Macaca fascicularis: one gene and its partners. The protein of the gene in region 4 binds, or shares a complex with, the protein of the main gene of each other region. Links are inferred from orthologs where the notes say so. Each region holds a gene or a part of one and is shown on either strand. Other genes may lie near its edges. The genes, in order: SNRNP200, LSM5, LSM3, PRPF3, SNRPF, SNRPD3 and LSM6.

Region 1 (3,850 bases), on a different chromosome or scaffold from region 4:
CAGGTGAGTGTGATATTGTGAAATATATATTCGGTCTTTGTTTCATTTCCCGGCATACAGCTTCTATGATCCTTGGAATCTTCGAAGTGATAAGCGTCTTTTTGTCTGCTGATGAGTTAACTGATGAGTTAAGCTATCTAGGCAGCACCTAGATAGCTTCAGAATGGAGGCTGGTCATTTAATCAATCTGCCTATGTAATGAAGCCCCCATAAAAACCCCAAAAGGACTAGGTTTAGAGAGTTTGCGGATAGCTGCACACATGGAGGTTTCCGGAGGGTGGTGCGCCTGAGAGGGCCTGGCAGCGCCATACCCTTTCCCACATGATACCCTTTGCCACATGCCTGCCCTGTGCACCTCTTCCGTCTGTTGTCTGTTGGTAGGCATCTTTTGTAATATGCCTTACAGTAAAAGTAAGTGTGTCCCGATCTGTTCTAGCACAGTAGTTGAATCCCAAAAGGGGATTGTGGAAAGCTCGATTTGTAGCTGTACAGTGAGAAGCACAGGTCACACAACCTGTGCTTGTGATTGGCATCATGGAGTGGAAGGCAGGCTTGTGGGACTGAGTCCTCAGCCTGTGGGATCTGACTCTTATCTCCAGGTAGTTAGTGTTGGAACGGAATTGAATTTGAGGACACCAGCTTGTGTCCACTGCACAATTTTTGGATTGGTTGCTGGTGGGGAGGAATTGTCACAGAAGCCTTCTGTGTTAATTGTTGTAAAAGTATAGAAAAAACAAATTTGCTTTATTTCTTTTTTTTTTTTTGAGTTGGAGTCTCGCTCTGCTGCCCAGGCTGGAGTGCAGTGGCGCGATCTCGGCTCACTGCAGGCTCTGCCTCCCAGGTTCGTGCCATTCTCCTGCCTCAGCCTCCCGAGTAGCTGGGACTACAGGCGCCTGCCACCACATCCGGCTAATTTTTTGTATTTTTGGTAGAGATGGGGTTTCACCGTGTTAGCCAGGATGGTCTCGATCTCCTGACCTCGTGATCCACCCGCCTCGGCCTCCCAAAGTGCCGGGGTTACAGTTGCAAGCCACCACAGCCGGCCAAGTTTGCTTTATTTCTATATTCTCAGAGCGAGGCGGCCAGAGGATGAGACCGTGTGTCAGAAAAGGAGAGGGTCACAACTGGGAGGCTCCAGATGAACCTTGCCTCTGGATCCCCTTGTGGGATGTACTGGTCTGCAGAAGGGGCTTGTATTTACTGAGCACTCGATTTGTGTGGAACAGCACGTGTCTTTCTCTCACCCCCTCATGTAACTCCGTGAATAGGTGCTGTTAATACTCATTTTCCATTTTATAGAAGAGAGATGTGAGGCAAGAATAATTAAGTAATTTTCCCAAGTCACAGAAGTAGTATTTGGCAGAGCCAAGATACGATCCAGATAGTTTATATCTAGAATCTGTGTTCCTAACCGTTACACATGTGTGATTAGATTGGGGACCATTATGAGTCTGAGGAGCTCTGTTGATGTGGGTGCTAGAGGAAGTGAGGACAAAGAATTACAAAAGTGTGGCAGGCTAGAGGAGATCTGCCAAGTGACTGCCACCTGGAGATGTGGCAAGCTGTTGTGGAAGCTGTGTCCTGCTGCTTGAGGCCACCTAGCTAATCTTTTTAAAAACAGATGAGTCTTCCTTTAGTTGTGGCATTTTAAATCAGCATTAATGAGAAAGATCAGAGCCTAGTATGCAACAGGTTTTGAGAAAGTGTGGCTGTTTGCATCCTGCCGCCACATAAACCTGGTTGGTGATGTTCTGTCTGTCATCATTCTCAATATTGATTGGTTGTTTCTTGCTACCAGCCACGTGATATCCTTTGTGGGGCAGCTGATGAGGTTCTAGCTGTTCTAAAGAATGAAAAGCTGCGGGACAAGGAAAGGCGAAAGGAGATTGACCTGCTGCTGGGTCAAACAGATGATACCAGATACCACGTGCTAGTGAACTTGGGAAAAAAGATCACCGACTATGGTGGAGACAAGGAAATCCAAAATATGGGTAAGTGAGCTCTTTATGTCCTGATCATGTTAACTGGTTGTTGTTGACCCCTAAGTATGCATCTTCTAGCATCATTCATTTAAAAACCTTAGTGTCAGTGAGTTCCCATAATTTGTTGTGTGTTTTTTGAAGAGTTATAATTGATAGACACCAGAATCCCTAGATTTCAGCAGCTGTTCCTTACTCTGAGACCCTTTTGTTGTGTAGAATATGGGAGAAAATGTGGGCAGAGCCTTGGGGGCTCAAGTGGTTGAGCAAGCAGAGCTGGGCTGACTCCAGGGCTGGCAGGTGGAGAAGGTCTTGGCAGTGGCAGCATAGGTGGCTCTCTCGTGTTGATCATCTAAGTGCCTGTGTGTGTCCTTAGCACTTAGATCTTTCCTGAGGAGAGGTAGTTGGGGAGGACATTGGCTCCAGAGTGGCTTGTTTTACTAGCCATTCACTGCCCTCTTTTTCTAATCCTTCGTCGTTTCAGATGACAACATTGATGAGACATATGGTGTGAATGTGCAGTTTGAGTCTGATGAGGAGGTGAGTGATAAACAGGCCCAGTCCATTCTTGTTTTTGAAGTTGATGAAGGTAAAGGGACCCCTTGTAGTGTAAAGAAGCTCCCTAGTTTAAACCAGATACATTTTATGGTGGTGTGTGGGTTTCAGACTTAGGCATTATATGTTCTTTTGCTTAAAAAAAATGCAGTTATCTTTTAACTTTTCTACAGCAAATTTAAACTAACAAATGTAAAGCAACGTAATTATTTAAAATATACCAAGTGGATCAGCAAAAAGAAAGACAAAAGATAAAGTACAGTGAATACTTTGAGAATGTATCTGCTATGTTTTACTGCATTTTAAACGTATTACAATATTTTCCCTTTTTTCATTACTGTGTCCCCACTGCCTGTTTCAAAAGATTGCACATTTGCCTTAGAGCATGGCTGTAGTTCGTACATGGTTAAGTCACTGGAGTTAATGTTTACCGTCTAATAGAATTCCTTGAATATAAATAGGAATAAGTGGGGTACTTTGAAAAAATTACAGAGTGCCTTAGAGTTCTCAGTGAGTAGATTTGGCTCCTGAAAGGGAAAATGGATCCCTGGTATATATACCAGGGCTGGAAGAAGGGGTTGCATGGGGAGAGTTAGAGGACTAGGAGCCAAGACTTCTGAATTTGAGTCCTGTATCTTGGCAGGTCATTTTGCCTCAGTTTCTCTTTCTATAAAATGAGGCGATTTCAATAGGTGTTTGCTAAGCCACTTCCTACAGTATAGTTAATAGGATTTGATGATTTTAAGTAGCAACAAACTGCTTTGCTTGTAGCAGTTCATTCATTTAGCAGTGCTCGTTACTGAAGCACCTGCTTTGACTATGACACTGTGCCAAGTATGCCTAATGTGCAGTGTATGAGTAAATGGAGTGGTGAGCAAGCTTAGTGTGATCTCTTCATTCCCGAGTCACCATCTGCTTTCCCAGACGTGCCTCTGCATAGCTCTTCTCTTCTGTTAGCTGATCACTGTTTTTGAGTGTTGATTGTTTGTGTATTAGAAAAAGGCTATGGTCCAGTTGATTGCCATTGTGGCAGCCTAAGGTAAGAAACAGAAAGTAGGTGCATCTAATAAGTCTGTGCCAAGCAGTCTTTCTATTACATGTCCACTGGAATAAGGCTGACCTTGGTTCCAGTAGGCTCTCGGTTTCACCCCAAAGCCATTTCTCTAACCATTGAGCTAATTTAGGGTGACTTGAGGGAGAGGTTCTGTGGTGATGCAGGATCAGCTCCAGATAATGGTTGAGTTGGGGCCATTTCCACAGGAAGGTGATGAAGATGTGTACGGGGAGGTTCGAGAAGAGGCATCTGATGATGACAT
Region 2 (3,850 bases), on a different chromosome or scaffold from region 4:
TCTGTTTGTTATTTATTCATTCAATAAGTAGTAACTGAGTATCTATACACGAGATACCGTGCCTGGGCATTTTTCAACGATAAACTTAAACCATAGCCATTGCCTTCAAATAGCACACAAGCCAGTGGAGGAGAGAATACTGGACAAGTAGACATCCTGCTACATAATGCTAGGCTGGCAAAAGAGATGTTCAAGCTGCCGTCAGAGCACAGAGGATAGACAGAGTTGGGGGAGGGAAGCAGTGACAGAGTTTCCGGTGAATATAATTATACCTATCTCCTCTTATGTTTTTGTAGCTGGTGAAGAGTGATTGAACTAGTGGTCGTGGCCGTGATTGAAAAGTTTTCATTCCTTCATGCCACAGACTCTTTTGGAATCCTCATTACGCGCCAGATGCTGTGCTTAAACTGAGATTTGTATTATAAGACCTAAAGTTATTGAATGAATGTTTTTCCTGGTTTTTCTTTCACTATATGCAAGTAAGAGTGCCAGTAGGCACTCAAATATTTGTTGAAATAATGAATGGTAAAATAATATTTTTTCCCTCCTCAGAACTTGTGGACAAATGTATAGGATCAAGAATTCACATTGTGATGAAGAGTGATAAGGAAATTGTTGGTACTCTTCTAGGATTTGATGACTTTGTCAGTATCCTTTTAAAAGGTGGTGGTGGTGGTATAGGTTTTTCTTAAGTATTTAATAACGTAAGAACTATAGACAATCAGTATATTTGTGATTATTATAATAAAATCAGTTCATTTTCAGGGAACTTATGATAATGTTTTAAGAGGTATGTATTGAAAGACGGTAAAGTTCCTATCAACAACAAACATTTTGAATTTGAGCCGTTGTGTTAAACATTATAATTAAAACTGAACAAGCGAGCCCAGTGGCTTACACCTGTAATCCCAGCGCTTTGGGAGGGCAAGGTGGGTGGATCGCTTGAGCCCAGGAGTTTGAGACCAGCCTGGGCAACATGATGAAACCCTGTCTCCACAAACATTACAAAAATTAGCTGGGCATGGTGACGTACACCTGTGGGCCCAGCTAATCTCTGGGACCGAGGCAGGAGGATCCTTTAAGCCCAAAAGGTGGAGGCTGCAGTGAGGTGTGAGTGTACCACTGCACTTAAGCTGGGATAACACAGCGAGACTTTGTCTCAAAAGAAAAGAAAAGAAAAGCTGAACAAAGGCAGAAGCTGGAGTAAATTCTCTATTTGTTTTCTTAACACCAAATTTCAGATATGGTACTGGAAGATGTCACTGAGTTGTGAGTAGTGTTAAAGAATTGGGGGGGAATCTCTTCTTAATTAAAGACAGTTTTACTACTTTTGAGTAAAATTATTTATGAGAAAACATTACCTGTTGGTAGAATAACCTTAAAGATAGAAGTTTTATCTGTTTGCTTGTAAAATTGGATCAGTGTTATTACCTTAATTTAATTATTAGTAAACTCCTAGACAATTAGTGGAGACAGTTTTAAGGTAGAAGATAAAAGAGCTAGGAATTTTAGGGTTCAGGTCAAATCAAGGAACTGATAGTAAGAGCATTTAGACTGGACATGGTGGCTCACCCCTGTAATCCCAGCATTTTGGAAGGCCTAATGAGGAGGATAGAGCCTGGGAGTTTGAGACCAGCCTGGCCAACAAAGGGAGACCCCTGTCTCTATAAAAAATTTAAAAATTAGCTGGGTATGGTGGGGGGCAGCTGTGGTCCTAGCTGCTCTGGAGGGTGAGGATCCCGTGAACCAGGAGTTCTAGGCTGCAGTGAGCTATGATTGTACCACTGTACTCAGCCTGGGCAATAGAGCAAGACCCTGTCTCTTAAAAAAAAAACAAAACCCAAAAAACATTTCATTTCATATTTGATTTCTTGGGCAAGCTTTGGCTTCTTTTTATGAAGCTCTGTCTGACAGATGTGGATCTTAGGTCAGTGAGTTCATTCTGTTGCTTTTAATGAAGGTTACATTACCTAGTGGATAACCTTTGTAACTGAAAATTGTCGATATAATTGCCCAACCTCAGAGTAATTTGTATACAAGGATCACCTTTTTAGGGAGGGAAAGTATTTCCAAAATGTTGGCTTTGATTTTCACTGTTTATCCTGACTGTATTTTATCTATTCATTTAGTGAAATCACACCAGAAGGAAGAAGGATTACTAAATTAGATCAGATTTTGCTAAATGGAAATAATATAACAATGGTAAGACACATTGAAACTGTTTTGTTTAGATGGGAGCCCATTTTTCTGGGGCAGTGATTATAGAACTAACCTTAATGTTGCTTGCTTAACTAAATGATCATGGCCCAGTGGTGCGTAAGATGGGAAGGGTGTTCTCTGTGGTCAGGGCCCTAAAGCTCAGCTATTGAAGAGGCATTGGGTCTAAAGGTTAGTTTGCTTCGAATTTTTAATCGCTGTTGAGATAGTAAGTATTAATTGATGATGTTGGAAATTGTGAATAGATATTGACAATCTGGAGAAAATGGGAATGTGGAGCGCAGAGGACAGGCAAAGGTGGCTTAAGGAAGAGCAAGGGATTTTTAGATGACATGGTTGTTGTGTTACTAATAAACTCTTTTTCCTCTTTATGCAGCTGGTTCCTGGAGGAGAAGGACCTGAAGTGTGAATGAGTTTTCTTGACTTAGCTAGATTCTGTTTTGTCTTTTAATGACAAGAAAATGGAATTTTTTTCCCCCACCTTCTAATGTTTAAATCCCGTAAAGCTAAGTTTCCCGTTAAAGGGAAGTGCTTTGAAGATGTGTACCCATTTTTGTAAGTTAATCATGATTATCCTGGAAAAAGAAGAAAAGAGCTTCTTCTTTGAAGACGAAAATAAAGGTGTTTTTGGTTAATTGTCATTTTATTTATTGTACTGCAGTAGCCAGTGGAACAAAGATTGTGGTTATTTTGCCACTTACTTTTCTGTCATTATATGCTTATTTGCTTTCTCATTTACATGACCATTTGATTCTCAAACAAAAGTCGTTCCAGACAAAATGATGAACTTTGATTTGAACAGGTGCATTTAAACAACTGGAAATGATCACTTAGAAAATTAAATTAAAATGCTGTTGTTTTGTAATGAGGATTTTTCTACTGATTTCAAATTCCATGAACAACTATTGAAAACAAACAATATACAGGTAATATATGCACATTGTAGAAATGCGGGAATTATCTATTGGAATTTCCCTAAAGATACAAATTTTATCTATTTGTTTATAAAATTGGTTCAGAGGGTTATTACCTTAATGTAATTATTACTGAATTGCCAGGAAATTAGTGGAGACAGAGCTTTAAGGTAAAGGATACTAAAAACAGCTAAGAACTCTGGGACTCAGGTAAAATCAAGGAACTGATAATAAGATCATAGAACTGTATAAATTAAGTCAAAGAACTATTAAAAACAAACAGGTAATATACACACATCGTAGGATTATAAGTAAGCAAAAAGGAGAAGGTTGATCATGCTTTGCTGTATGTCTTCATAGACTTTCTCAGTCCACTCTCAGTACACATTTTATTTTACTTGTTCATCCTGATTTTTTATTCTCCACTTAAGCCATTTTTTGAATTTAAATGGTGAATATCTTTCCATGTCAAATATTTCAACATTAATGTATACATAATATTAAATGGATTTACTATAAATTATTTAGCCTATTCTTACCACAGTAGTCTAACTAGATCTTTATACATTTTTATTTTTCTAGAATAAACTAAAAAATGTGTAAGATCAAAGGGTGTATATTGTGTTGCCAAGAAAAACTTTGTGCCAAAAAAAAACTTTGTGCCAGGTGTCTTTCATAGTACTATTTATATCCTTCCCAACATTAGCTGTGTTCTACCT
Region 3 (4,366 bases), on a different chromosome or scaffold from region 4:
TTGAGATTTGAAGAAATCAGCCCTGGCAAAAGCCATGGTGGGGGGTCACTCTAGGCCGAAGGAATATCAAAGGAAAAGGCTCAAGAAATAACTTGGCATATTTGAGGAAGAGAAAGGAGGCCAATGAGGAGGGTATCTGGCAAGGAAACAAGTGGTAGGAGAAACAGGAGAGGTAGCAAGAGCCAAAACACGTAGCATCTTGCAGGCCAGGATAAGACAACTGGGTTTTAAACTAAGAGCAATGGAAAACCAAGGAGAGTTTAAAGCAGGAGCATGGCATGATTTTTTTTTTTTTTTTAAAGATTATTTGCGTTGCTGGATGCAGAGCTGGGAGGCCAGTCAAGAGGAAACTGCAGTCACTCAACTGAAAGGTGATGGTGACTTGGACAGGGGTTGTGGCCATGGAAATGAAGAGAAGTGGACAAATTTGAAATACAGTCTGAGGCTGAACTGACTGGACTTGCTGACGGGACTGGATGTGTGCACATAAGAAAAAGGTGGACTTTGTTTTATAACAAGTATTGGGACTGGAAAAACGGAGGAAACCATAGATTTGAAGGGGAAGACCATGAGCTCTGCACTGTCCACGACAAATGTAAGAAGCCTATCCAATATCCACGAGGGGAAGTCAGGTGGGATCCCACTGTGGAACTCTGGGCGAGACTCAGCTGAAGTTATCATTCGGGAGTCAGCACACTGCATCACTCTACGTCCTGGTCCGTCCGTCCGTTTTCCTGGGACACAAATAACTGCCTTCTCCGCGTTCAACCCTGAACATCTGCGCTGTATCCTCTGGACAACGGGGAGCGGGAAAGAAGCTACGCAGGAGCTTGGGTCGGGCGAGGCTCACGGGAAGCCGCTCTGGGTGCAGAGGACAAAGGCGCAGGGACAGCGGGGAGGGCCGGCCGCGGCCTGCCGTGCTGCCCCCACTGCGCGGAACGCGCGCAGCAACCTCCACCCGGCCTCCGCGTCTGGACTCCCGCCGCCCCTGCCTCTGGGCCTCCTCCGCCCACCGGCAGAGTCTCCCGCGAAGCCCGCTGGGCCACGCTCTCACCCTCCTCCTCCTCACGCCGGGTCTTGCTCTTGGCCTTGGACTTCTGGCTGCGCGTTTCGCGTCCCCGCGGCTCCCCGCCGGCCGCGCGCTTCCGAGCCATATTGCTTGTCGGGGAAAAATCCACTTCGCGAGTGACGCACCAGGCCGCGATGCGTTAGAACGCAGGCCCCGCCCCGAGGCGGGCGCGTCTGGCCGCGCCCCTTCGTTGGAGGCCTAGTCACGCCCCCAAAGGAAGCTCCGCCCCATACCCGTGGCCACTAAAAAACCGCGGGAAGCAGGCAAGAGCACAGCAGGTTTCTATTTCCGGTGTATTGTAGCATCACGTTTCCGGAGCTCGGCGTTGCTCTTGTGTTCTCGCGAGAGGCGGGAAAGGGCGCAGGGTTTGAAACATGGCGGACGACGTAGACCAGGTGAGTGAATTTTAAGGCGGTGGCTCGGCGCCGCTTCTTGTACTAAACTGCTTTTTCCAAACGCAGGAAAAATGGCCAGTCGCGCCTCTTCTTTCCAAGTCACACGGCCTAATCCGCCCCATCCTTTCCGTAAACACCCCTGTCCGAATTTTGCTGCAGGCCCTGAGGTCTTTTCCGTTAGAAGGCCACCTGATGACTATTCATCACACTCTTCGCTTTGTTTTTTTAAATCTGTAAATTATTATGCGTGCCTACCTCACGGAGCTGTCAGGATTCCAATAGAAAGCCAGATAATAAAGTTAGGAGTTGTTATTACTGAGCACAACAATTATTTACTCATTCAGCAGAGAGAGTGAACATCAGCTTTGTATGGTTAGACACTGTTCTAAGAGCCAGGGACACTGACATCGATATATAAGTGATCCTTGCCATGACTTGGAGCTTATATTCGCGAGGAGAACAGATAAATATAAATATGTAAGATTTATAGGAACTGTGATGTGCTATGAAGGAAACAAGGAACTGGTATGCAGAATAACAGATGGTCCTAGAAGCTTTTTCACCTGGTCTTTTTCTTCCTCAAATATCTTTGGAGATCATGCTACAACTTAAACTTTCTACTGAAATCTCACCTCCTCAGAGAGGACTTCTGCCCAAATAGCACTCCCCCTACTCTGCTTACCCTGCCTCATTTTTCTTCATAGAACGTTATTTTTTCATATTAAATGTATGCATCTTTGTTTAATGTGTATCTCTCCTGACTAGAATGTAAGTGCCATAACAGTAGGCATTTTGTTTTGTTCATTCTTTTGTCCTTGGGGTTTAGAACAGTGCTGGAAATACTCAACAAATATTTGAGTGAATGAGTTAGATGATCAGAGGAGGCCTCTTTTAAAAGCCAATGTATAAAGCTACAGGATGAAAAAGAACAGAAAGTGGGCATCCCAGACAGAGGCTTAGGTAGCAGTAGAGCTCTGTCATGTGCATATTCTTACAGTATTATAATTATTCATATGCCTATCCACATTAGAATGAGCTCCTTGAGGGTGGAGATTGTGACTTCTGTATCATTGTAATCTAACAGTTGGTTATCAGATCCTTTAACAAACACCTGTTGAACTGAGGGACATAGGGACCAGTTGAGTTAGGTTATTTTTTTTTCTCTCATCGGGCCTTTTGAATCTTTAGCGCCTGTTACGAATTCAGTTACCTTCCTCCACTGGCCTTGTGTGCTTACTAAAGAAGCTCTCCTTGAATCATCTAACTCTTTAATGGCTGCAACCCTCCCTTCCATGTGGGTGACCCCAAGTCATCCTAGCCCTGACCTCTAAAACCAGTGTTTCCAGCAGTTCTTTAATAATATAATATTAGTAGGAATCTTTTCTTTTCTTTTTTTTTTTTGGATGGAGTCTCACTCTATCGCCCAGGCTGGAGTGCAGTGGCGTGATCTCAGTTCACTGCAACCTCTGCCTCCTGGTTCAAGCGATTCTCCTGTCTCAGCCTCCCAAGTAGCTGGGACTACAGGCACGTGCCAGCACGCCTGGCTAATTTTTGTATTTTTAGTAGAGACGGGGTTCACCATGTTGGCCAGGCTGGTCTCAAACTCCTAACCTCAGGTGATCTGCCTTTCTCAGCCTCCCAAAGTGCTGGAATTCAGGCCTGAGCCACCACGCCCAGCCAAAAGGAACCGTTTCTAAGTATTAATATTTTCTGCTTTCCTGGCACTGTTTTAAATGCATTAACTAGTTTCATCCTCATAAGAATCCAGAAGGAAGGTTGTGGCTTTCTCAATTACAAATGAAGAATCTGAGAATTACAGATGGCATGATTTTTAATCTCAGTTCATAAGTGTCAGGTCACAGCCAGGAGTTGAACCCAGACTGCCTGACTCCAAAGTCAGTGCTTGCTTGCTTGTTGGCACCATCTTGGCTCACTGCAACCTCCACCTCCCAGGCTCAGGCAATCCTCCCACCTCAGCCTCGGAGTAGCTGGGACTACAGGCGCATGCCACCATGCCCGGCTAAGCCAGTGCTTTGAACCAGTGTTCTATTCTGGCTACTAAATATTCATCTTACTGGCCAGTTGGCAGCCTAACCTCAACCTGTGCTGAATTCATAATCTTCCCATAAACCTACACCTCTACTTGGCATTCTGACTAGTATATGGTAGGCATTAAGTGAGTGTTTTTCCTATGATTACATAATATTTGAGATAAAGCTAAAGTTCCTAAGACCCTATACCCTGAAATCGGGTCAGGCAGTTTGGATTTTGAGGGAACAAAGTATAGTCATGATTATTTTGCTGTGTAACTCCTTCTTATGTATGCGTGTTTTAATCTACATTTATATAGCACATACTATGTGAAAAGTTCTGTTCTAAGCCTTCATATATGTCACTTAAGCCTCATAAAAACAGTATTAGGTAGACACTATTATCTCCATTTTACAGATTAGGAGACTGAGGCAGAAAAAGGTTAAATAACTTGCACATGGTCATACAGCATAGCAGTGATTTAAGCACTACTTTATCTCTAGTACTATATTACTAAACCTGTTTCTGTTATCAGCAACAAACTACCAACACTGTAGAGGAGCCCCTGGATCTTATCAGGCTCAGCCTAGATGAGCGAATTTATGTGAAGATGAGAAATGACCGAGAGCTTCGAGGCAGATTACATGTGAGTAAATTTATCAAGTTACCTTGAAATCAGATTCCTTCCCACCCCCACTCCCTTGAAATGTAAAACCTGTCCAGAGTGAAAAGGTATTTTGAAGGAAGAGAGGGTAGTGGAAAATCACCCATGTTTCCATAAGCCAGATGAAGCTGCATGTATTCACATTTTTAATATTTTTTCTTTTAATAGAAGTATGTTTATTATAGAACATTTTTATTCCCTTCATTT
Region 4 (3,850 bases):
GCTATTTTACAAGATTTACTAGCTCTTGATCCACACTAGGGTCATTAAAAGAGAGTAGGAACTGGTGTCAGGTATGCTTTTAGGCCACAATGATTCTGCCTCAAGCACTTGGAAAATGTTTTAGTAATTCTAAGGGGAAGGTCGGCCCAGTATGGACACCTACCTATATACAGATATGTGTACCCCCTGTGAAATGTCTTCTTTAAGCTTTTTAATTTTCTTGACCTTTCTCTGTTCTGCTGTGAGTTTTCGGGCAGCGTTGGCCTCTTCATGCGCTCTGTCGTGACAGGAAGGACATCCACAAGTGAGAAAGGCATTGAAGATCAGAGGCAGGGCTGAGGGAAAGAGAGAGCAACGGAGAACTCTCCCCTCCCTCCAAATATGGATCCCCCAGAAGAGTTTGGGAAGGGTCCTTGCCCGGGGTTTCCACCCAATCCCATGGCACTTACTTCTGTCTTTTTGCCATCTGAGCTCTGACATGGGCTTCTACCTTCGTGGGGTCTTGAACAGCTTCTGTTCCTAATACTCGCATCAGATTAGAAATTCTCACTGCAGTGAAGAGAGGACAGCAGTCAATCTTTGAAGTCACTTCTCCAGCTGGAGTAACTTGCTATCTCTTCTACACCAATTCATATTATTTACCTATTTCAAATCTCTGCTTCTAAACTCACTTTCTCCAATAACTACTACCTTGAAAATCTAACCCAATCACTTCAGCATTTGCAGAAGTTCACACAATTAAGTTGAAGATTGGTACTTATCACAGCATCTAGTGAAAGAGTTTATAAATAACAGTCCTCAGTCAAAATATTGCTGAACGAGAATGTAACTACAGGGGCAATTTCTTTATCCTGCACTTTCATTGTAAAAATTAAAACATTAAGAATTATGTACATAAAAAGTCTACCCAAATACTGCAACTACTATCTCCATGAATTTCAAGACCTGTATTCTTCCAGGAAAACCAGAGTGTTGTATGATCAGTATGCTTAAAAATAAGCCTTAAATGGCCTCTATAATGAATGTGTTGACCTATCTTAATATGAAAAGATGGTAGAACACTTGGAGAAAAAAGACCCCAAGAATGATTCTTAGAAACAGAAATCACTCAGACATAGAGAGATGTTAAAGTTCCTCCAGAATTAAAGACATAAACTTGCCACTCTTTTTAACAGCAGAGGCCACTAAGAGATGTACCTTTGGGTTCTGGAGGAGGCATCAGGCCCAGCCTGACTTTTTCTTGTAGTTCCTTCTGTGCTTCCCTCCTTGTTTGTCTCCGAAGTTTTTTCTGTTCCTTCTTGGTAAGATATACTCCCAGAGTAACTGGTGTGTCATTGTCAACTGTCAGGGCAGAGATTAGTATACCAAAGCAATAAGAAAATTTTTTTTTTTTTTTTTTTTTTTTTTTTTTTTTTTTTTGAGACGGAGTCTCGCTCTGTCGCCCAGACTGGAGTGCAGTGGCGTGATCTCGGCTCACTGCAAGCTCCGCCTCCCGGGTTCACGCCATTCTCCTGCCTCAGCCTCCGGAGTAGCTGGGACTACAGGCGCCTGCCACCACGCCCGGCTAATTTCTTTTTGTATTTTTAGTAGAGACGGGGTTTCACCGTGTTAGCCAGGATGGTCTCGATCTCCTGACCTCGTGATCCGCCCACCTCGGCCTCCCAAAGTGCTGGGATTACAGGCTTGAGCCACCGCGCCCGGCCGCAATAAGAAAATTATATATATATATATATATATTTTCCCCCCCACTCTGTCACCCAGGCTGGAGTGCAATGGCCCGATCTCAGCTCACTGCAGCCTCAAGTAATTCTCCTGCCTCAGCCTCCCGAGTAGCTAGGATTACAGGCACATGTCACCATGCCTGGCTAATGTTTGTATTTTTAGTAGAGACGGGGTTTCACCATGTTGGCCAGGCATGAGCCACCATGCCTGGACAGCAATAAGAATATTAAAGAGACCTAGGTAAATATCAATATCATTAAAAGAAACTTTAGGCTGGACGCAGTGGCTTATGCCTAAAGCACTTTGGTAGGCCAAGGTGGGAGGATTGCTTGAGCCCAAGAGTTCCAGACCAGCCTGGACAACCAAGTGAGACTCAACTCTATTATAAACATTTTATGTAAAAAATATATTGAGGCCAGGTGCAGTGGCTCATGCCTGTAATACCAGCACTTTGGGAGGCAGGGACAGGCAGATCACAAGGTCAAGAGATCGACTCCACTAAAAGTACAAATATTAGCTGGGCATGGTGGCACACGCCTGTAGTCCCAGCTACTCGGGAGGCTGAGGCAGCAGAATCACTTGAATCCAGGAGGCGGAGGTTGTAGTGAGCTGAGATTGTGCCACTGCACTCTAGCCTGGCGATAGAGTGAGACTCCATCTAAAAAAAAAAATATGTGTGTGTGTCTGTGTGTGTGTGTATATATATATATAAACTTTAAATAGAAAACGGAAAAAACTTGTTAAGGGATCAGTAAGATTAAAATCAGTTCAGGCCTGGTGCCCAGCAGTATATTTTTAAAAAACATTCTTATCTTTTTTTTTTTTTTTTTTTTTTTTGAGATGGAGTCTCGCTCTGTTTTTTTTTTTTTTTTTTTCTTTGAGACAGAGTCTCGCTCTGTCGCCCAGGCTGGAGTGCAGTGGCCGGATCTCAGCTCACTGCAAGCTCCGCCTCCTGGGTTCGGGCCATTCTCCTGTCTCAGCCTCCTGAGTAGCTGGGACTACAGGCGCCTGCCACCTCGCCCGGCTAGTTTTTTGTATTTTTTTAGTAGAGACGGGGTTTCACCGTGTTAGCCAGGATGGTCTCGATCTCCTGACCTCGTGATCCACCCGTCTCGGCCTCCCAAAGTGCTGGGATTACAGGCTTGAGCCACCGCGCCCGGCCTGGAGTCTCGCTCTGTTGCCCAGACTGGGGTACAGCGGCACAATCTCGGATCACTGCACGCTCTGCCTCCCAGGTTCACACCATTCTCCTGCCTCAGCCTCCCGAGTAGCTGGGACTACAGACACCCACCACCAGGCCTGGTTAATTTTTGTATTTTTAGTAGAGACCGGGTTTCACCTTGTTAGCCAGAGGTCTCAATTTCCTGACCTCATGATCCGCCTGCCTTGGCCTCCCAAAGTGCTGGGATTACAGGCGTGAGCCACCGCGCCCGGTCATTTCTCGCTCTGTCACCCAGGCTTGAGTGCAGTGGCACGATCTCGGCTCACTGAAACCTCTGCCTCCCGGATTCAGGCGATTCTCCTGCCTCAGCCTCCCGAGCAGCTGAGACTTCAGGCACGCACCACCCCCTCCCCAATAATTTTTATATTTTTAGTAGAGACAGGGTTTCACCATATTGGCCAGGCTGGTCTCGAACTCCTGACCTCATAATCCACCTGCCTCAGCCTCCCAAAGTGCTGGGATTACAGGCGTGAGCCACTGCACCCAGCCTCTTTCTTAAGTAGTGTTCTTAGTTGTTTTCCTTTAAGCTGTTAAACTCCCTCATTCAATGATCCCTGGCAAATGCAGAAAACAAAATTAGGGCCAGGTGCGGTGGCTCACACCTGTAAACCCAGCACTTTAGGAGGCTGAGGTAGGAGGATCACTTGAGGTCAGGAGTTCAAGACCAGCATGATCAACATGACAAAACCCTGTCTCTACTAAAAGTACAAAAACTAGCCAGGTGTGGTGGTGGGGACCTATAATCCCAGCTACTTGGGAGGCTGAGGCAGGAGAATCGCTTAAACCTGGCCGGGGAGTGAAAGTTGTAGTGAATGAGTGAATGAAGATCGCGCTATTGCACTCCAGCCTAGGTGACAAAAGTGAAACTCCATCTCAAAAAAAAAAAAAGCGACTTTGTTTCCCAGT
Region 5 (2,682 bases), on a different chromosome or scaffold from region 4:
TGTCACATCCTATTTTGATCCTTATTGTTAAGCCGTGTTTTTCTTTTCCTTTTCCACATGCCTAGTTGTGAAGGAAACCTCCCTCTCTCCCTTCACTCCTGTTAGTGTCGTCGCTGAGTCCCAGGTGGCATTGATTGTGATTTTTCTTTTAATTACAAGTAAAGATTGTTACCTATATGTAGAAGGAAAGCTAAACATTTTGATATAAAATTAGAAATAATAGGGTTCAACAAAATAACTGTAAAAGTCACTGTTAACTATTTAACTTTCACTTAAGAACTTGTTTTTCCCTGTTTATTGGTACATAATTTTAAAAAATTTTCTTATTCAGGCCCAGATGTGGTAGCTCATGCCTGTAATCCCAGCACCTTGGGAGGCCAAGGCAGGAGGATCACTTGAAGGCAGAAATTCAAGACCAGCTTGGGCAGTATAGCAAGATCTCATCTCTACAAAAAAAAAAAATTGTTTTGAAGTAGCCAGACTTTGTGGCACATGCTTTTAGGCCTAGCTACTCAGGAGGTTGAGGCAGGAGGAGCCCAGGAGTTGAAGGTTTTGCTCAGCTATGATTGTGCCACTGCATTCCAGCCTGGGCAACAGAGGGAGACCCTGTTTCTTAAAAGACAGGAAAAGAAGAAAATTCTAACTCAGTTATCTGCTTTGGTTGCTGACTAATATAAAAGTATTTGGCATGCTGGCCATAGCTTTTGTATACCCATTTGGACACCTCAATATGATTTATGTTTTACTCTGAGAAAACTTAACGTCTGGTTCTTTAGAATGAATTTTCAGAAAACTTTTTAATCACAATTTATTCATAGAGACTGCCTTCTTCCACACACTGTTTTGATATCTAATGGAAAGAAATATTACATAACCTGGGAGATTCAGAGGCTTATGTTGAGACAAACTTTATTATATATTTGTTCTATATCCATGAATATTAATTTTATTGAAGGTTTATATGAAACCAAAAGTACTACAGTAGTAATAGAAAGCTCATCCTCTGTTTATTAATTATAGATAAATTTGAGTTGTTGGTATAGGAAGGTCATAGTAAGTTCTCTCACCAGTATTAGCTGTATTGTAATATTTTCCTCCTGTGTGATTATACTAATTTATTTCTTTTTATTGAAAGCTTGCAAATACAGAAGAATACATAGATGGAGCTTTGTCTGGACATCTGGGTGAAGTTTTAATAAGGTAACGAACAGCAGTGGTATATGTAAGGAGTTACTGGTGAGCATTAGGAATACCTGTTCTAAATATATTAGTGCCTCAATTTTGGAAGTACTTTAAAAAAAAAATTACTATTATAATACTTTACAATTAGACTTCAAAAGTCTTTGAAATTGTTAAACTTGTCAAAGGTAAGTTTTCAAATGTTTTAGAACTGGCCAAAAGATTTTTCTAGTGTTAAATTTTCTGGCTCTTAGCTATAACCTTTTACAGTGGCAACCTTTTGCAGTGGCCTTCATTGCAAGAACTTAGTTTTGAATTTTAGTTGGGTCTGGCTGTTTGTAAGGATTTTTGTTATATTGATTCTCTGTACTAGCTTCAAAGCTTCAAATTCTGGTAATTGTTTCCTTTGGAAAATCATAAAGGTGTCATTTTAACAACCATATGGTGGAAAATAAGTGCAATGTGCTTTTCAACAAGTCTATGTAAAACTCTTTTTAAAAACAAATATATTAAAAAATTTTTTAAGACAAGAATATTGTAAATATAGCATTCAGTATTTTCATAATAAAAATACAGTAATTCAGATCATTCTGGTTGGAACAACAAAATGGACTTTTTCTATTTACAGGTGTAATAATGTCCTTTATATCAGAGGTGTGGAAGAAGAGGAAGAAGATGGGGAAATGAGAGAATAGCATCTTTTGTTGGGGATTTTTTTTTATATATATATTTCTAGACAATAAAGATTTGTTTGTTTTTCAACTTGACTTGCGAACTATTTGTATTCAGATATTTACAAGCAAAGCTCAAATGTTGAACCAGTTGGGAAAGATTACTCACAGAACTAATGCTTTAAAAGCCACCGAATTTCATTTAAGTTGCTTTTCTTTTGTAAGCTCAATACTCTTTTTTTTTTTCCCCCATAAAGGATAATTATATGCTTTAGATATTTTTATGAAGGTGAATTTCAGACCTTTTCTTGTAAAATTATCTATTAGCTGCGACCTTTTAAATGCAACGTTTTCAAGTTATTTTTGAGCCACTTTTAACATGTATAAAATTAAACATTTTCTTGGCATTAATAATATTCTGTCTTATTTTACTTAGTCAATAAATTACATGTTAATTCGGTGTCAGTATAAGCTAAATGCACATATTGTAGCTAAAACTGAAACATCCTCTAAAAATTAAAATGATTGTACAGACAGGGCACAACAGAAATTGGGAACTGACATTCAGGCTAAGGGCATATGATTTGTTTACTAAGGAGAAAAAAGTTCTTTGAACAAAACGTAATGTGGAATAAAAACCGGTCTCACAGTTATGTTCTGAGACCATAACTTCGAGGTTAAGTTTTAAGCCTTTCAAAACCCTTCAGATATTTTAGAGTTATACATTGTTAAAATGTATATTCCATAGTAATAACAGCATGCTATGAACTTCCCTACAGATGGGTTGAGAAAATATATCATTTACATTCTCATGTTGTAAGAGAATGGCCAT
Region 6 (4,280 bases), on a different chromosome or scaffold from region 4:
CCCAAGGCACGAGAGCTCCCAAGGCGGCTCCAGTAGGACTTTTCGCTTCTGGGGAAGGTGGCGCCCCTTCTACCCGGACCCTCCCACCATGCGGACAAGGGTCGCAATCCTGCCAGTGTCAGGAAACCCCCACTGACTGGAGCGAGGCGGGTGTGGGGGTGAGGCGGGAGTCGGCCCAAGGTCGCGCGGCTGGACCCTGCCCCGCGCTAGGGCGGGGTCCCCTTCGTTCCTAGGGTGAAGACTGGGCCCACAGAGAGGCACTGACCGGGCTCGAGCGGCGGCCCCGCTGCCTCCGCCTCCGTCCTCATGACCCGGGCGGCGCGGGGCGCCCATGGCCCCGGCCCAGAGCGGGCTACAGCTTCCGCTTCGGCTGGGGCGGTAGGGCGGTCGGTGCGTGTCGAGTTCCTTCTCCGCCACCGCCGCCGCTGCGGAGGGGAGAACCGGAGGCGGTGGCTGGGCCGCCCCAAGCCCCGCCCCAGCCCTTCCAGGTCTCGAATCTGGAGGCCCCGCCCTTTCTCTAAGCCCCGCCCCAAACTTTGATCCTAGAGGCCCCCAGCCTCCCGATTTAAATCTGCCCCGGCCATTCACCGCCTCAGCGTCGAGTGACCCAGCCCTCTCGTCCAATCCTCGCGCAGCCGCGAAGCCCAACAAGACGCGGACCCGGAAGCTCCGCCCCTTTCCTTGAGCCCCGCCCCAAAGCCCGTGCATTTCGTGAACAGAGGCTCCTCCCTTCAGCAAGCCCCGCCTCTGCCGGGGCCCGCTCCTTTGCCAGTCTTAGCTGTAAACCCTGGTCCGGCCCAGTGTATTCCGGAGGCTCCAAACAACTCTCCTTAAACTGCCTTTAGGGATGACCCTGAGCCGGCCTCCTCTCTACTCTATACCTAACTTTATCCGTACGAGATACGTAGCCTCACTCAGGGCGCCCCTTACCTGGCGGTGCTGGGATCAAAAAATTAAATTGTGAGGGGAAGTCCTGGCCCTTGGCCCAACCTCCTGCTGCCCCCGGTCTGAGGGCCCAGGCCCCGAGTCTCCGCCTTGCCGTCCAGCCTGTCCTTGGTGTGGGGCGCTTGGAAGTGCAAGCACCCTCTCTGGCTCTTTGCCGGCCCCAAGGGTCGTTGTTTGCGGCGGTCCCCGGGCCCAGTCTTCGGCCCTCTTTTCCGGTGCCGGAACTATCGTACTGGTGCCTTAGTTTCCCAGCCGGCACGCGGGGTGAGGAGGAAGCGGAGGCGACACCGCTCTCACCACTGGGGAAAGGAAGGAGGCGGGCCCTGCGCGCAGCATTTTGGGAACGAGTGGAATTCTGGGAGCTGGGCCCGCCATTCTCTTGATTCACGCCTTCGCCGTAGCGGCTTTCGCCGTGCACCGAAGAGAAGGAAAAGTAGGCCAGAACCGGTGAGGCTGGGGACGGGCGAGGGGAGGTCGAGGTGCCTGTGAGGGGCCGGGGGCTGGAGAAAGACTCAATGCATGAACTCTGCGGGATTCGGGGAGGGAAGAAAGCGGGAAGTTTGGACCACCCAAACATCAGCGTCGCCTCACTAGCGCCTGGAAGTAAGTTCATTAGCTGCTCCCTCAATGTGCATGCTTCTTACATTCTGTATCTCTCCAGGTGAGTGTTTTTCAAAGTTTCCAGGCAGTAATCTTGAAGTTATTTCCTATGAGTTTTTTGAATCTTGAAGTCAAATCCTATGAGGGTTTTTTTTTTTTTTTTTTTTAAAGTAGAGACGGTTTCACCATGTTACCCTGGCTGGTCTCGAACTCCTGGGCTCAAGGGATCCACCGGCTTCGTCCTTCAAAAGTGTTGGGACTACGGGCGTGAGCCATCGCGCCCAGCCGGTCATTTTTTAAAAAGTTCTTTGCATGTCTGCCCCCAGCTCCCTTTCAGGCAGTGGTCCCGTCATGCTTTCCACACTGTTGCAGCAGTTTTAACTGTTGCAGAAATTTTAACAAGTTTCTCTGCTTCTAAACCTTACGTTAGATCCATTTTGTAAATAAATGCTGCTACCTTTTCATTGTGTCATTCTTTACCTATAATTTTGCAGTGGTTCCCCACTATCTTCAGCATAAAATCTAGGCTCCTAAGGCTGAAAGCCAGGGATCCTCACCAAAGGAGCCTGTCTTTTCAACCTCATGTTCTCCTGTCTTAGGTGCACTTAGGTTCCAACTTTGAGTCGTCGCTCATGTCAATAAAAAGTTCACTACTTGATGCTTTTAATTAGGTCAAGTCAGGTGCTTTCCCTTATTTTCCTCCATGACGGGCATTTCCTGCATATAGCACGTTGTCACTTCGATATTTTCTCAATATCCTTGATGGTAAAGTAAGGGAAGGGTTAAAGAGCTGCATTAAAAGTACAGTCTCCTCTCCTAGATATGCATGGTCCTTAGGTCTGTATCTGCTCCTTCCGTAGGGTAGCCACCAGCTACATGTAGCTGTTGAGCACTTGGAATATGGCCACTGGGATTGAGGGACTGGGTTTTTTATTTTAATTCTATTGTGTTTTAGTTAAGTTTAATTTAAATAGCTACATGTGGACATGAGCTACTGTATTGGACAGCTCAGGCCTGTGTTATGATTCTCAAAATATAATAATCTACAATTAAGGGTTGACAAATAACAGTGCAACAGATTAACATTCCAATCCCCCTCCCCTACACACACAGTATTCGCTAATGGTCCTTTAGCTGAAGATTAAGGGACATAGGGTAGCAGGGACACATGGTCGATGGGAGATGCTCTCTTTTCATTCCTATTTTTACTTCTGTCCACCCCACCATTCCTCCTCACCCGACATCTTGCACATATTTGCCAGATAGTTTCCTCCAAGCCAGGAGCTGAGCTTTCTTTTTTCTTTTTCTTTGATAGAAAATGCAGCTTTGGCGTTTTTGCTAAGTTTTATGGAGTGCCAGGCCTTGAAGGAGGCATGACGTGTGCCGCATGCCTTCTCAGACTCTGAAAGATGAACTGACTGTTGTCTCTTTCACTGTAGAGCTCTCTTCCTGCCAAGATGTCTATTGGTGTGCCAATTAAAGTGCTGCACGAGGCCGAGGGCCACATTGTGACATGTGAGACGAACACCGGTGAGGTATATCGGGGGAAGCTCATTGAAGCAGAGGACAACATGAACTGCCAGGTATTCTGCTTTGCATGTGAGGCTGTGTGGGAGGAATGGCCCTGTGTCTTGAAGGACAGAAAGGTGTGGGTTGGGGGTCTTCTGTAAATTGTTCTCATTCAGCAATGATTTCCTGAGTGCCTAACACATACCAGTCAGGTGCTGTTATAGGCTCTGGGGATGTGGGCATGAACAAAACACATAGTCTTGAGGCAGAAAAGCCATTTGGAGATTTGGAATATTTTACTTCGCCTTTTTTGTTTTTTCCATCCCCAAATTTGGGGACCTGTTTGGGAGAAGTTCCTTCAGTAGAATCCTTCAGGTTCAGAGCCATTATCCATTTGCCTCCACTTGCTTTGCAGTTAGGAGAATCTTCTCACATACTGTGTTTGTTTCCCTTTTCTCTTGGAGGAGGAGTCTCATTTGATTATTGCAACTACCTTGTGAGGTAAGCAGGTTTGGTGGTAGTCTTGTCATCCATAAAATAGGGAGAATGAGATTAAAGGACTCATCACTCTGATAGTAAATAATGGAGTAGTTTCTTGATACGGTGTCCTTCTCATGGCGCAGCTTTGCCTTTTGCATAGTCATCTGAATTTTTATAGCATTGTTTTTCAGTTGTATCTTCACACTTTCTTTGTTCTTTAAACCATTGGTTAAGAACTTGGACTTGGGAGTCAGAGAGAGATGTGGGTTTGATTCCTAATTATATGACCTTAGATGTATTAATCACTCAGTTTTCTCATCTGTAAAACGGGAGTGTTATTATTTTGGGTTCTTTGATGTAGATGCCAAGACAGAATTATGCAAGGTATTTATTGGGGGAAATGACAATAAAGGATAAAGGAACAAGGAAACAGTAGTAGGCAGGGAAATTTTCAGTCCGTGATGCTGGTCTGACTGGTGAAACGAGAGGGGAAAGAAGGAGGATTGAGCAGGAAGAACCTTAGACTACAGTGTAGTTTTGAGGAAGTCTCAGCAAGGCAGTGATTGCTCATTAGAAGAGTCTAACATGGGGCAGAAATGGGCAGACTGGCACCCCTGGTGTGTTCATTCCATTGGCTGGCAGCCTGGGGAGACAGCCTCTCTCCCCAAGTTGAATGCCATGGTGGACTGCAAAGATGGAGATTGTCGGCTGCCTTCACTCCTCATAGCCTGTTTTCTTTTGGAGGG
Region 7 (4,503 bases), on a different chromosome or scaffold from region 4:
TGAGTTAGTAAAAGTCATTTATAAGCTGCTGAGGGGCTTTTGGGAACAGCTACACTTTTTATAAACTTGTTAGCTCATGAAATAATTCAGGATGCCCACCCCGTGTGTCAAACTGGGCCCTTACCCAGCTACTGCCCTTGGAGAAGGCTGCAGCTGCTCTGCAGATGAACTAGGCCCTTAAAACTCCTCATGGCTCCCTACCCACCACGCTAGTGTTAACAGCTCAATTAGGGCTCTGTAGGAAAGGGAAAGAAGTTTTAATCAAAATTTTATTTTATTTTTTTTAATAATTTAAACAACCAGTAAGGAATGTGCAATTTGATGTCTTGCAAAGAAAGTTTTTAGGAACAGGCCTTTTTATCCTGTTATGTTTGTACTTTGCAAGTAATTATTTGATTTAAACAGTCCTTTTCTTAAAATTTTTATTTATATTATATTTTATATTGCAAGAACTTCAAATACAGTCCTCTCAATAAATCAGTAACTGTTTGGTCTTTACCCAAACTGAGCTTTTATAGAAGGATATAAGGAAGTCTCTATTCTTTACCAAATCACATCCACTTGTTTTCTGTCCCTGATATCAATCAAAAGTTCATTTCTTCTGCCTTTAGCCAAAAGAAGGTTACAAGGGAGGAATTCTTTATCTCAGAAAAAAATTCTGCATCTTAGATTTTATAACACCTAATGGGGTTAAGGATCTGTGTTGGAAGATCTTATTGCTTTGTGTATAGCGTTACAAACCATAAATAAAATTAAAGTAAGTTTTCAGCTGATGAGAGTAAAGGAATCAAGTCTTGGGGTAACAGTTCTCTTTTTTTCCCCTTCCAATCCCATTAATAGAAAGTGTTGAGAATTCATGCAAAATTCCAAACCAAGTTCCCATAGTAGCACTTAAATAATGTCTGCACACCATTTCCAATTGGAACAAGTTTTTAATGTAACACAATTAATGTCATTATAATTCGGAGTTACTTGAGTGATTTTAATTATTTTTTAATCAACATTGCCATGGAAACAGTCTCTTGCTAAAATGGCTTAAGTCTTCACACATTTAATCAATATCCAGAGGTAGATTTAAAGACTTGAGGTGTTTTATTTATTTATTTGCTTTAAACTATTCAAGGACGTTTCTGGGTACACAGTGCCGTTACTTAAACAGTAAATTCCAGTTTCCTATGACTTCAAGTTATTTTTTACACTTCTGCAAATAAATCCTGGACAAAAGATCACTTCTAGTTTCCTGGATTTTTGTTTTTGTTTTATATTATATTTGTTTTGTATTCAGATTTCTGTCAGAGGAACTCCAGTGCACCAATTTTGCTACTAGACAAAACAGGATTCTCGGATTTGCGCGCTTCGGCGCTGACAGGCTTTTCGGCCCCAGCGGGCTGCCGTAGCAGAGAAGAGCAGTGATTGGCCGAGGCAGAAAAGTGCCGCTGCCTCGGCGGTTTCGCTTTTGGCTGCGATCATCCGCGGAGGCCGGACTCGTGGGGCGCCTGGAGTGAGGGTTCTGGATCCCGCCCGCGAGGTGAGCCGCACGGCTGCGCGGGCCGATGACGGGGCCGGGCGTAGCCCCGGGTTCGACGCCCCAGTGTTCAGTCGCGCTGTGGAGCGGCGGCTGCAGCTGCCCTAGGCCGGGCGAGGCAGCCCCGGAAAGGGCCTGAGGGGAACGGGCTGGGGCTCCGGGAAGGGACCGCTGAGTGGCAGCTTCCCGCGAAATGCCGCGTCCAAGCTCTCCGCGCACGGAATGGCCGGAGAGGTCTGATGGTGGGCGCCGGGACCGCCCTCAGCGAGGTGCTTAGACTGCGCAGAGAGTAGCGGCACCGTCCCGGCTCCCACCGAGTTGGCGTCCGAGACCAGTTCAGGTTGTTGAAGTTCCCCAGGGAGCCCCGAGGCTAATCCCAGGATTCGGCGGGAAAGCGGATCCCGAACCCAGGCCTAGGCTTCGCCAGTCTTCCAGGGCTTCAGGGAATTGCGAACCCTTCCCTACATCGGGGTGGCTGCGCCTGACCACAGGAATTAAGGACTCGACTCGCCTGTCTTACTGAGTTGTCAGGCCTAGGAACCCAATTGTATGGTCTTAAGTCCTATCGCCCGAGGTTTTCTGTGCGTTCGCGTGTCCGCGCGCGTGCATAGCAGGCGTTTTTAAGATGTGTAGCATTAGGATGAAGCGGATTACCCTACCCCACTGCTCTTAGTAATATGTGACTATTGTAGAAAATTGCAAACATGGAAGACTTTAGTGAAGAAATAGTATTCACAACCCTTTCACCTACAATCTTTTTCTCCTGTGTATGCTAGCTTCTACTTGAGCTAAGAGTGTACATGTTTAATCACTTAACAGTATAGTTTACCACTTCCATTTAAAAACTCTTCCTAAATATTATTCTAGTTTTGTATCTTCTTTTGATTGACTGTCCCTCATTGTGGATCGCAATGTAGGTCCCATAAATTATTCAGTCATTTCCCGATTGTGGGATATTATAGATTGTTTTTGAATTTTTGAATCTCTTAGCACCCCAGATAATACTTTGATAAACCTTTTCCCCCCTATTTTTTAGATTATTTCCTTGGACTAGATTCTCAGAAGTGAAATTATCAGATTAGATGCTTTCATCTGTAAGGCCTTTTTTAGGCCTTCGTACACATTGCTGCAGTGTTTTCCAAAAAAGTTTTTCAGGTGTTTGGCAATTTTACTTGCTTGAATATTGTACAGAAATCTTGAGAGGCTTATGTTTGTGGGTGTGTGTGTGTGTGTGTGTGTGTGTCACTGGAGTTAATGCGTTACTACCTGAATGTTAGGGCAGGAAGAGACTTAAGTGGTCATCTGGCATAACTCCCTTATTTTGCAGATGAGGAACCTGGGGCCATGAGAAGTGAAATGATGAGTTATCCAAGTCACACAGCTAATTAAGTAGCAGAGCTGGGATTAGAACTCAGGTTTCCTGCCTCCCAAGTGAGTACCCTGTGCTGCATCAGGCAGTCTCTCACTGAACTCTGGCATAGTAGATATTAGAATTTAAAAATTTGTTTACATCACCTGGATTATTCTCTCCTTTTAAAAGTGTACTAACAGATTAATGATCGGAGGGACCTGTAACACTGAGAAATTGGAAAGTGATTATTTTCATGGCCAAGACTAGAAATCCATTATTTAGAATGGCAACCCCTTCAAGATTTTGACAGTTGTTTTCAGGTTCCCTTTATGTTAGAATAAAACATCCCTGATTAATTATAATCTACACTCCATCATTTGGTTAGAATGTAGCTTTTGGTTATCATTTGCTGTACTTTGGAGATTTCTTTAAAACTCCTCACTTTAAAACCAAAGAACAACGTTGTTGGTGGTTTTTTTTTTTAGGGCTTATAGCGGAGATTCTCAGCTTCCATTGACATTTTGGGCTGGACAGTCCTTTGTTGTGGAGGGCGGTCCTGTTGTAAAATGTTTAGCAACATCCCTGGTCTCTACCCACTAGTATAGCAGTAGCACCACCTTCCTCAGTCTTGACAGTTCAGTGTCCCCAGATACTTCCAAATGTCCCTGAGCAGGGTGGGGTGGGGTTGGGGAAACTGCCCCTAGTTGAGAACCATTTGCTTAAATAAATTATCTGGAGAACTTCATAAAATGTAAAATACAGTGCTTTTACCTGAGTAGACTTCAGGAATCTGCATTTTAACAAGCATCTCTAGATTTGGAAACAGCTGGTTCTTGAATGACAGAAAGGGTTGTTTTCTCCGTCTTTGGTGGTCCTAATAGAGATTACTTGGTTAGTATTTGTTGAAGTACGTGCATGATCCTACTAGTCACTGTATCCATAGTTTGGGTTGGTGGGGGCTGGACAGGGATTTTGCTTGGCACTGGCCTTGAATGTCTCTTCCACAGACTTGGGCAGTGTGCTTAGGTACCAGGGATACCAAGTGAGTAGGATATTTCCCCTGTCCCCAAGGAGCTTAAAACTCACCATGGGAGACCTGTCAGCAAATGGAAAAATTACAAAGCAGCCTGATAAGGACCATGACCGAGAGTTGAAAGAGGTGCTGAGTGGACTCACTTCGCCTTTGGGAGAGAGGGAGAGAAGTAGCGCCTGCTGCTCAGGAAGGAGGGATTGGTATGAAGCCTTCACAAGACAGCGAGGCACTCCACTGTGTCAGAAGGGAGGACTTGGAGAGCTGTTCTTCTCCGTGTCTGATCGCCTCCTCAGACACTGATCTGTTAGTCTAGTGCTGCAGTTACTTGGATTGTAATGTTTCCTTGCAAGTTTTTGCTTTTCAAATTTTTTTCACCCTAAACTGTAAATATGCTAGGAGTAGGTAAAAACTTACAGGTAAACATTGCCAAGTAATAAGGATTTTCATGTCTTCTGCCCAGTGGCATAACCCAAATCACATGAGATAGTTTTCTTTGCGTTTGTCCGTTGTATTTCTTTGAGGCTAATTTACAGCACTTTGTCATGTTAGGTATTTTTTTCCCCAGTGCTGCTACTCTCCGACTGGATTTCTCGC

The links.
Region 1: PRPF3 (region 4) and SNRNP200 share a complex: the UniProt entries of both Homo sapiens proteins name them as parts of the U4/U6-U5 tri-snRNP complex. The link is inferred for Macaca fascicularis from reciprocal best matches to the Homo sapiens genes PRPF3 and SNRNP200.
Region 2: PRPF3 (region 4) and LSM5 share a complex: the UniProt entries of both Homo sapiens proteins name them as parts of the precatalytic spliceosome. The link is inferred for Macaca fascicularis from reciprocal best matches to the Homo sapiens genes PRPF3 and LSM5.
Region 3: PRPF3 (region 4) and LSM3 share a complex: the UniProt entries of both Homo sapiens proteins name them as parts of the precatalytic spliceosome. The link is inferred for Macaca fascicularis from reciprocal best matches to the Homo sapiens genes PRPF3 and LSM3.
Region 5: PRPF3 (region 4) and SNRPF share a complex: the UniProt entries of both Homo sapiens proteins name them as parts of the U4/U6-U5 tri-snRNP complex. The link is inferred for Macaca fascicularis from reciprocal best matches to the Homo sapiens genes PRPF3 and SNRPF.
Region 6: PRPF3 (region 4) and SNRPD3 share a complex: the UniProt entries of both Homo sapiens proteins name them as parts of the U4/U6-U5 tri-snRNP complex. The link is inferred for Macaca fascicularis from reciprocal best matches to the Homo sapiens genes PRPF3 and SNRPD3.
Region 7: PRPF3 (region 4) and LSM6 share a complex: the UniProt entries of both Homo sapiens proteins name them as parts of the precatalytic spliceosome. The link is inferred for Macaca fascicularis from reciprocal best matches to the Homo sapiens genes PRPF3 and LSM6.

The regions. Positions count from the first base shown.
Region 1 is NC_088387.1:1,383,537-1,387,386, reverse strand, and holds part of SNRNP200 (U5 small nuclear ribonucleoprotein 200 kDa helicase), read left to right. Parts: coding exon 1-3; intron 4-1,798; coding exon 1,799-1,991; intron 1,992-2,463; coding exon 2,464-2,519; intron 2,520-3,794; coding exon 3,795-3,850. UniProt on the Homo sapiens protein: Catalyzes the ATP-dependent unwinding of U4/U6 RNA duplices, an essential step in the assembly of a catalytically active spliceosome. Plays a role in pre-mRNA splicing as a core component of precatalytic, catalytic and postcatalytic spliceosomal complexes.
Region 2 is NC_088377.1:97,820,296-97,824,145, forward strand, and holds the end of LSM5 (U6 snRNA-associated Sm-like protein LSm5), read left to right. Parts: intron 1-296; exon of another isoform or gene 297-473; coding exon of another isoform or gene 474-552; coding exon 553-648; intron 649-1,241; coding exon 1,242-1,269; intron 1,270-2,129; coding exon 2,130-2,202; intron 2,203-2,593; coding exon 2,594-2,626; 3' UTR 2,627-3,082; downstream 3,083-3,850. UniProt on the Homo sapiens protein: Plays a role in pre-mRNA splicing as component of the U4/U6-U5 tri-snRNP complex that is involved in spliceosome assembly, and as component of the precatalytic spliceosome (spliceosome B complex).
Region 3 is NC_088376.1:152,442,894-152,447,259, forward strand, and holds the start of LSM3 (U6 snRNA-associated Sm-like protein LSm3), read left to right. Parts: upstream 1-1,402; 5' UTR 1,403-1,443; coding exon 1,444-1,464; intron 1,465-4,030; coding exon 4,031-4,141; intron 4,142-4,366. Other genes in the region: XPC (DNA repair protein complementing XP-C cells), read right to left, coding at 1,055-1,154. UniProt on the Homo sapiens protein: Plays a role in pre-mRNA splicing as component of the U4/U6-U5 tri-snRNP complex that is involved in spliceosome assembly, and as component of the precatalytic spliceosome (spliceosome B complex).
Region 4 is NC_088375.1:110,918,398-110,922,247, forward strand, and holds part of PRPF3 (U4/U6 small nuclear ribonucleoprotein Prp3), read right to left. Parts: intron 1,342-3,850; coding exon 1,198-1,341; intron 550-1,197; coding exon 450-549; intron 336-449; exon of another isoform or gene 278-335; coding exon 164-277; intron 1-163. UniProt on the Homo sapiens protein: Plays a role in pre-mRNA splicing as component of the U4/U6-U5 tri-snRNP complex that is involved in spliceosome assembly, and as component of the precatalytic spliceosome (spliceosome B complex).
Region 5 is NC_088385.1:102,898,460-102,901,141, forward strand, and holds the end of SNRPF (small nuclear ribonucleoprotein F), read left to right. Parts: intron 1-1,135; coding exon 1,136-1,200; coding exon of another isoform or gene 1,201-1,204; exon of another isoform or gene 1,205-1,236; intron 1,237-1,807; coding exon 1,808-1,874; 3' UTR 1,875-1,946; downstream 1,947-2,682. UniProt on the Homo sapiens protein: Plays a role in pre-mRNA splicing as a core component of the spliceosomal U1, U2, U4 and U5 small nuclear ribonucleoproteins (snRNPs), the building blocks of the spliceosome.
Region 6 is NC_088384.1:28,879,552-28,883,831, reverse strand, and holds the start of SNRPD3 (small nuclear ribonucleoprotein Sm D3), read left to right. Parts: upstream 1-1,303; 5' UTR 1,304-1,392; intron 1,393-2,984; 5' UTR 2,985-3,002; coding exon 3,003-3,128; intron 3,129-4,280. Other genes in the region: protein GUCD1, read right to left, coding at 266-308. UniProt on the Homo sapiens protein: Plays a role in pre-mRNA splicing as a core component of the spliceosomal U1, U2, U4 and U5 small nuclear ribonucleoproteins (snRNPs), the building blocks of the spliceosome.
Region 7 is NC_088379.1:151,030,056-151,034,558, forward strand, and holds the start of LSM6 (U6 snRNA-associated Sm-like protein LSm6), read left to right. Parts: upstream 1-1,452; 5' UTR 1,453-1,528; intron 1,529-2,852; 5' UTR 2,853-2,956; intron 2,957-4,503. UniProt on the Homo sapiens protein: Plays a role in pre-mRNA splicing as component of the U4/U6-U5 tri-snRNP complex that is involved in spliceosome assembly, and as component of the precatalytic spliceosome (spliceosome B complex).